2 linked regions of the Rattus norvegicus genome follow. The protein of the gene in region 1 interacts with the protein of each later gene in a biochemical or structural test. Links are inferred from orthologs where the notes say so. Each region holds a gene or a part of one and is shown on either strand. Other genes may lie near its edges.

Region 1 (4,253 bases):
GGGAGGAGGAAAAAAAAAAAAGGAAAAAAAAAAAGCAGGTAAATATATCACTCATTTAACTGACACCATAGTCAATAATTGTGATGAAATAATTGCCATCATACAGGCAGAAAAACAAGGCATCCAGTCTATCCTTAAGGCGGGGGCAGAGGTGTGGGGGATAAGGGAGAATGAAAACAGTCTAAACAAAAGCACTGTAGAAAGAAAGGGTTGGGGGGGCTGGGGGAGCAGCCTAGACTTAAACACATTATATATTTGTATGAATTTTAAGTATTTAATTAAAATGAGAAAGAGTGGTAGTGACAGAACCTTAATGTCCCTGTGACTCTCAACTCACAATTCATATAACTATTTTTTAATAAAGACCCTCCCAAACACTTGCCAAATATTCAGTCAAATTCTCCAGTATAGGGTGTAAAACTGGTGCCCACAGTAGAAACCACACACACACACAAAGCCACAATAGAACTGGAAAAATACAACTTCAACTTGCCTAGTGCTTCAAAATTCAAAATCCTACTGGGGCAAAATTTTTCAGGAAATCCCTAGAAATAAGCAAGCCACAATGGAATTTGAACTTACACCACCTTATACAACATGAAACCTGAAAGGTCACTGACTGACTTAAGGTGTGGCCTAGGGACATTGTTAAAGGACAGAGCAGCCACCAGGCAAAGCAGTAATCCTTGAACTTGTCCTAGCCCACAGTATTGCTTCACTGCCTTTCACAGTACAAGGGTATAGATCTAGATTAACATAACCTAGTTTCTGCCAAATATAGGTTGTCAACGTCCTTTCTCTCCTCCCAGCCTTCCCCTCCTCCAATTTCCCCAAAGAGCAACTCAACAGCAAACCAAGATTAACAGGCTGGGTAGAATACAGTCAGAAACAAATTAGTAAGGTCTTAATTTCAAGTAGTTGTCTGGGAAATGGCAGCCAACGTTAGCACTGGCAAGGCCACTATGCCCTTCTTTGCACATGAAGTCAATAACTAGCCAGAGTTCAGTAAACTGCAAAGCATTAGTGACATTCCAGGAACCTCTGCTTATAAGGATGAGTGGTATGAAGACCATTTCTGGCTAAAATGTTCATAACACCAGGACAATAGCAGCTTCAGATTAATTAGCTTATCAGAAATAAAACATTTAAAAGCTAAATCCACCTCTGGCTTCTATTTAAACAACTACAAGTTAATTCATTAATATAGTATTATGCGTAAAGAAAGAAGCCCAACAGTTTTACACCCAACTGTTATGAAATTCCAAGACATTTGGGGAAACCTAAGCCTAGGAGGAAAGAAGAAAAATGGGGATGATGTCCTCTGAATGCTCCCTGTCTGACTTGGTTCAAATGTGTGCCTTAAGAGGAAAGCAATGACCTTTTACAGGGGAAGGGGATGTGAGGGACTTCTCTGAGTCTTATTTTCTCAGAATGTTTACTTTGTATTAATTTACCACTCAACTTTAGGGAGCTTTTTTGCAGAGCACACTCCCCTTTATTTCTCAGGGAGTCTCCCCTGCAAGACACCTACTCTGCTCTCATTTTACATGTCCGCCCGCCTCACTTAGTCATCCCGGGAATGTGTTACTGGTGGCTGCACCTACTTCACCTGCCGCTTTCTATTAATACCTTGTAAGTGCACCCTGAGGCTGAGCAGTAGAACTACACAAGGAAAGCAGGTGATAATTTAGATTGTTCCTCTCTGAGACCACCTTCTTTTCAGTTAACTTGCCTTGCTGTGCTTATAGTGTGTCCTTTGTCTTTTAAACCACAAAGGTCACAAAAGAGTTTGGCCATTTTAAAAAAATAATCTCCCTTCTAAATGATAAAAAAAAAAAAAAATTCAGCGAAGCATCCATGACAGATTCATACTGCTTCATACCTAAACTGCTTGAGTTTAATAAGAGCCTTCCTCTAAACAGGGCTGCTCAAAATACTAATACATCCTGAGAATTCAAAGAATAAAGAAATGGCAGGAAATTCCAGTTTTTTCACTTCTAGTAGACTTTTACAGCCTTGCCCAAACTAGACTGCTCCTAATAACCCCGGGGAATAAAGGGAGCTAAAAAAAGAAAAACAATTCCAGGCTAAGATTTACTTTCACTGGCTTCCCCCTCTCACACAGGAGGTCAATTACGCAAGTTTCTCCTTCCTTTCTCGAAGAACATTATTTAGTCCCCTATTCTCTTTACCCACTTCCCTCCGCAGGTCAAGACCCGGTCAAGAAAACTGTCCAGGATAAGGAGAGATGCCTCCGAATACGGGTGACAACGGAGGTTTCAGTGACCAAACGGTCGCGGGAATCCTTTCTCCCTAGGCGTGCTGGACGGACACGTCCAAGCTTCTTTCTCAATGAACAGATGCCAAACGGGAAATCTAGGTGGTTCTCCCTGGGCCTCCAGCGGCCACACCCCTGGCCTGAGCCCTACCCAAGCCGGTCTTCCGAACCTTGCTTCGTTTTGAAGCCCCCAACTATCGCTGCTACACCGGAGCTCAGCCCCAACCCACCACGGTCACTACGAAAGAGGTACTTTCTCCAAGCTTTTCCCTCACAACGGTCACACCCGAGGACTCCCTCCATCCTCAACCGTCACGCTCCCCGTTTCTCCTTTCCTCCTGCGCCTACGACCCGGCTTGGGGTTCCCTTCCTTCACAACTACCCCCAGTCAGGGACACACCCCAAAGCCAGCCGCCTTGAACTCACCGGAGGCAAGGGCGGGGTGGCGGCGGCAGTCAGAGAGCACAGCCGGGAAGGTGGTGTAATGGTTTCCTGCCCGTCACGATTCTCTCTAGATCTAAGACACTGCGCAAAACCCAATTTGCCAGGGACAAAGATGGTGGGCCGGAAGTTTTGGCGTAAGAGAATCTCGCCGCCTGACGTCATCCGGGTGCGCGGGAGAACCAAACAGCCAAGTTGTGTCTGTCGCCTCAGCAACGGAAAGGTTTACCTTTCTCAGGGTTAGGGCAGACTAAGGAAACCCGCAGTGGCTTTTCCAAAGGATATCTTCAATACGTAGATATTTTCTTGATTTATTTCCATGAACAAGAATTTTGTTAAACCTGTGTGAGATATCCTATATGCTTAAACACAAACCTCGGCTAATTTGCATGTAAGGTTCAGAAGCCCATAGAGGTGATAGAAACCAGAAGTACAGGTGGGCAGCTGAACTAGGAGTTAGCGACTCAAAGATGCTAAGAAGTATTCAGATCTGAGTTTGAATCCCTACGTTGTACAAGACTGGAGAAACTTATTAGCGCCCCCTTCCTGCCTCGCCCGTAGGCTTGCGTGGTATAAGGTACCCAAAACACTTAGTGGATACAGGTTTCTTTAGGAAACTAAACTGGTACTACTGGTGTTTAAAAAGAAAAACCAGCATTGGGCTGTGTATCTCAAGCAAGCCTGAAACTAAGCCCCTCTTGCTTCTGCCTCTAGAGCACTTTGAACTTCTCTATCTATATATATACCTTGACAGTAAGGCTTAGTGGTTCTCCTACCCAGGCTTCCCTCACTCTACTATTGAACATCTTTAATGTGCATTGGTGTTTTGCCTGCGTGTATGTATGTGAGAGTGTTCGGTCCCCTGGAACTGGAATCTCAGACAGCTGTGAGCTGCCATGTGGGAGCTGATAACTAAACCCAGGTCCTTTGAAAGAGCAGCCAGTGATCTTAACCACTGAACCATCTCTCCAGCCCCCAGATTTGAAACTTAAAACTCACGGCAGGGCTGGAGAGAATGGCTCAGTGGTTAAAAGCACTGGTTGCTCTTGCAGAGGTCTTCAGTTCAATTCCCAGCAACCACATGGTGGCTCACAACCATCTGTAATGAGATCTGATGCCCTCTTCTGGTGTCTGAAGACAGCTACAGTGTACTTCTATACATAAAATAAATAAATTGTTATATATTAAAAAAAAACAAAAACAAAAAAAAAAAAACAAGGTAACCAGGTGTGGTGGCATAAGCCTTTAACCTCAGCACTCAGGAGGCAGAGGTAGGTGAATCTTTGTGAGTTCAAGGATAGCCTGGTCTACAATATGAATTGGAGAGTCAGGGCTACACAAAGAAACCCTGTCTTTGAAAAACAAAACAAAGGGTTGGGGATTTAGCTCAGTGGTAGAGCACTTGCCTAGCAAACACAAGGGTTAGGTCCTCAGCTCCGGGGGAAAAAAAAAAGAAGAAAAGAAAAGAAAAACAAAACGGGCTGGAGAGATGGCTCAGAGGTCAAAAGCACTGTCTCTTCTTCCAGAGGTCCTG
Region 2 (3,647 bases), about 38 Mb from region 1:
ACAGTCACCTGAAAATGAACCCGAATGTGAAGCAACTGGTTTTTACAATTGTGCTGCACTTTGCTACTGTTACATCAAGCATTACATAACTGTCAACTGTAGAAACTTAACTATATTTTAAATATTTCTGAAACAATTATTTTACTCATGTTAACATTTCAAGTCAACCAATCAAAAGCTCTATAAAAGCGAACCTCTAGGAAGCAAGAATCCAGGATTTCCACATGCTGGGAATGAAAGGAGTCTATTCTCTAATGTTAAGTCACTGAGTTTTTGTCTGGGATTGAGCAGGCGAGTGGGAGAGAAAAGACAATGTGTGTGTGTGTGTGTGTGTGTGTGTGTGTGTGTGTGAGAGAGAGAGAGAGAGAGAGAGAGAGAGAGAGAGAGAGCGCGCAAGCAAGGGACAAGAACCTGAAGTATGTTCCATTATTTATATTCCCTAGTTGTAGGATAGGCAGTTTAATTTATGAATATCCTAAAGTAAAATGCTTGACTTTCCCCTTAAACTATGAGTATCACTGATGAACTCTGACTCCAATCTAAAGCAATCTCAACTTAATACAAGTCACTTTGGGACTTAGATACATCAAGGGTCAGAAAGCATAGCTTATAGGCTGGCAAGAAGGCTGCACACAAAGCCCTGAGTCACATGTAACTCTGTCTACAGCATGCTGTTTTCTCACCAACACTTGAAAATGCAACATGCACACATCACCAACTGGTATTTGGAATATAGTCCGGATCTTTAATCTGAATTCTCCGGATCAAAGAGGTAGAACTCTTACCCATCCTGCCTCAGACTGGCCATCATCAGCATCACCCAGGCAAACAAGGAAGGCAAAAAAAAAAAAAAAAAAAAAAAAAAAGCAAGCAGAGTTCAAGGAAGAGGAGAAGAAGCCCCTAAGGATATCAGAAGAAGGTAAAATAGAGTAGGACCACACACTGCTATATCACTAAGACCCTACACCTCATCCCCCACTTCAAGTCAGGTCAAAAACTTATACATAGGACACAAGAGCCTGTGTAGAATATTAATAAGGGAAGACAGGAGAGTACTTAGACACTCTCTCTCAGGCTGCAGTGTTACACCTGCAGGCCTCTGGTAGAAAGCAGATACGTTCCTATTACTGATACTACTGTTCCTTCAAAGATTATGCCCTTACAAGTCTTAAAAAGGGCATTCTAGAGATTTAATGGCTCTGGAACCACACTGAATACACTGAACACAGGTATTTTGAAACCTTTTTAAAATCTGGCTATAGTTTTATTTGAACTTCATTCCCATGAACTGTAATCTGAACTATTATAAATGTATGGGTAGGAAAAAGATGCTAATTAGTTAAAAAAAAACAAAAACAAAAACAAAAACCAGCACCAGCACCAGCACCAGCACCACAAAAAACCCCAAACAAACAACAAACTCATTTTCCACAGGTCCATGCAGACTGAGTGGGCCTCAGGTTTTACTTCTATTGTTTGATGTCAGCTTATTATAACTGTCCTACATCAGAAGATGAAGCTTATAAACACAGGCCTGTGCGACTCCAGGTGCCTACCACTACTCCAGGTGCACCCCTGCGCAGGATTGCTCTGGTCACGTGAGCACAGGACGGCAATACTAAGTCTCAGGTAGTTAAATTTTAGCCTTTAACCTTCTCTCCAACGTAGGCTTCATTATCCCCTTCCCCCACACCTTATTTTAGACCATGGAACCGTCTGATGTCCAAATGTAAGATGACAATTATAAATTTTAGAGAGGGTAAAAATCTCGAGGCCAAGACTGAGATGCCTGAAGAAAAATGTAGAGGACAAGAACGGTTAGGGACAGACAGGAGGTGCAGACCGCTCGGAAGAGTCAATATTACTAGCACTTAGGGCTGACCTAGTATCATAAAACTAGGTGACTGGCAACTTTATAAATGGCTCCACTTTTCTTTTTATAGAGGGCATTTTCAGGGAGGCGACATTTGTTACTGGAGAATACTGCATGTTCAACATGGTAACCTCCAGCCTAAACTGTACACTGTAACTACAGCTTATCAATACTAGTTTTTCAGTTAAGAAATGTAACACAGGGGTTGGGGATTTAGCTCAGTGGTAGAGCGCTTGCCTAGCAAGCGCAAGGCCCTGGGTTCGGTCCCCAGCTCCGAAAAAAAGAAAAAAGAAGAAAAAGCAGAAGAAGAAGAAAAAGAAAAAAAAAGAAAAAAGAAATGTAACACAATTATCTTGAAACCATGAGAAAGAGAAAGGGTATGTAGTGCCTTCTGTACTTTATGATCAAATTTTCTGTGTCATATAGATTTCTCTAACAAAGTGTGTTTTTAAAAAAGGCTAAGCTTTAGATAACAGCAATACATCAAAATTAAACCAAACCAAACCAAACCAAACGGCTGCGTAAAGCAAAGCCCTTAAGCAAGTGGTGGAGAGGCGGTGGAGAGGCGGTGGAGAGGTGGTGGAGAAGTGGTGGAGAGGCGGTGGAGAGGCAGCGTACCTGCACCTTTCCGGAGAGTCCTCCCGGTCTTTCCTCCGGAACTTGCTGATGGTGTCGTCGATTGTGCTCCCGATCTTGTCGCTCAGCTCCCCTAGCTTGTCACTGAATGGAAACGCACTCTTGTTCTTATCCCACTCTTCGTCCCATTTGGACTTGGGCTCAGGGTCATACCGTTCATCTGTGTAAACAACGAAGAAAAACAACTGAGGATATTAAATCTGGAAGGTTCCAGTGTCCTTCCTTCTCCTAAGAAAATTATTTTTAAGGGAAAACGAATCTCCCACAGTGCCACACAAACACAACATGGTGCAGCCCATGCCAATCAAAAGCCTGTCTTCAGGTAACTTCACAGCCTTGATGGACAGGACAGATCTGAAGCCCTTGAACACTGCTACAGGAGTAGATACAGAAGCCATTCTATAAACACAAGACAAATGAACATCTTTCCAGTTTTCTAAAGTCATCCAATGAGTTCAATGACTATTTTATTCTTATCTTAATGGTTCTTCATTTTTAGACAAATATAAGCCAATGACAATATCTTAAACAGAAAGTAAGGCTATGTGCTGTGGTCCATGCCTATAACCCCTGTGTTCAGGAGATGGAGGCAGAGAGTGCAAGTTCTAGGGCAGCCCAGGCTCTGCACAAGTGGATGTGCGTCCAACAAACAAACAACAGAGAAAGGCAAGAAAGCGAGTTTGGGGGTGCAGAGAGAAGGGAGAAGGGGAGGGGAATAAGGCTGAAGGAGTGAGCACACACACAGAGCAAGCTAGCAAGACATGACGGTAAACTACACCAGAGCGAAGCTCAGTGATCATTTGAGAGCAAGAGTCCAAAGCTATGCAGTGCAGCACAACACAATGAGATCACCATCTCAGTAACAGGTGAAAGAGGAAGGAAGGGCAGACAGACGCATGGACCCAAAGGAGGAGGAGGGAAGGAAATTGACTGACTAACTAACCACTTAAGCACTGTTTCCCTAAAAGAACTCTGGTCTGAGCCCCATGACCCAGTTAGCTGAAAGGACCACATCCTTTAGTACCAAGAATGCAAATGAATGGAGTGAGGCATGGGAAGAATCCTGTAATTTTATTAAAAAAAATTCTAATTCTCCAAATCTTCACACTTTAGAACTATAAATGCTCTGAGCAGCTCC

What was found.
Region 2: the proteins of Ap2b1 (region 1) and Clint1 form a complex in vitro, tested with the Homo sapiens proteins (2 studies listed by BioGRID and IntAct, with this or other methods). The link is inferred for Rattus norvegicus from reciprocal best matches to the Homo sapiens genes AP2B1 and CLINT1.

The regions. Positions count from the first base shown.
Region 1 is NC_086028.1:68,599,291-68,603,543, reverse strand, and holds the start of Ap2b1 (AP-2 complex subunit beta), read right to left. Parts: upstream 2,822-4,253; 5' UTR 2,705-2,821; intron 2,653-2,704; exon of another isoform or gene 2,509-2,652; intron 2,311-2,508; exon of another isoform or gene 2,197-2,310; intron 1-2,196. UniProt on the Homo sapiens protein: Component of the adaptor protein complex 2 (AP-2). Adaptor protein complexes function in protein transport via transport vesicles in different membrane traffic pathways.
Region 2 is NC_086028.1:30,834,469-30,838,115, reverse strand, and holds part of Clint1 (clathrin interactor 1), read right to left. Parts: intron 2,670-3,647; coding exon 2,492-2,669; intron 1-2,491. UniProt on the Homo sapiens protein: Binds to membranes enriched in phosphatidylinositol 4,5-bisphosphate (PtdIns(4,5)P2). May have a role in transport via clathrin-coated vesicles from the trans-Golgi network to endosomes. Stimulates clathrin assembly.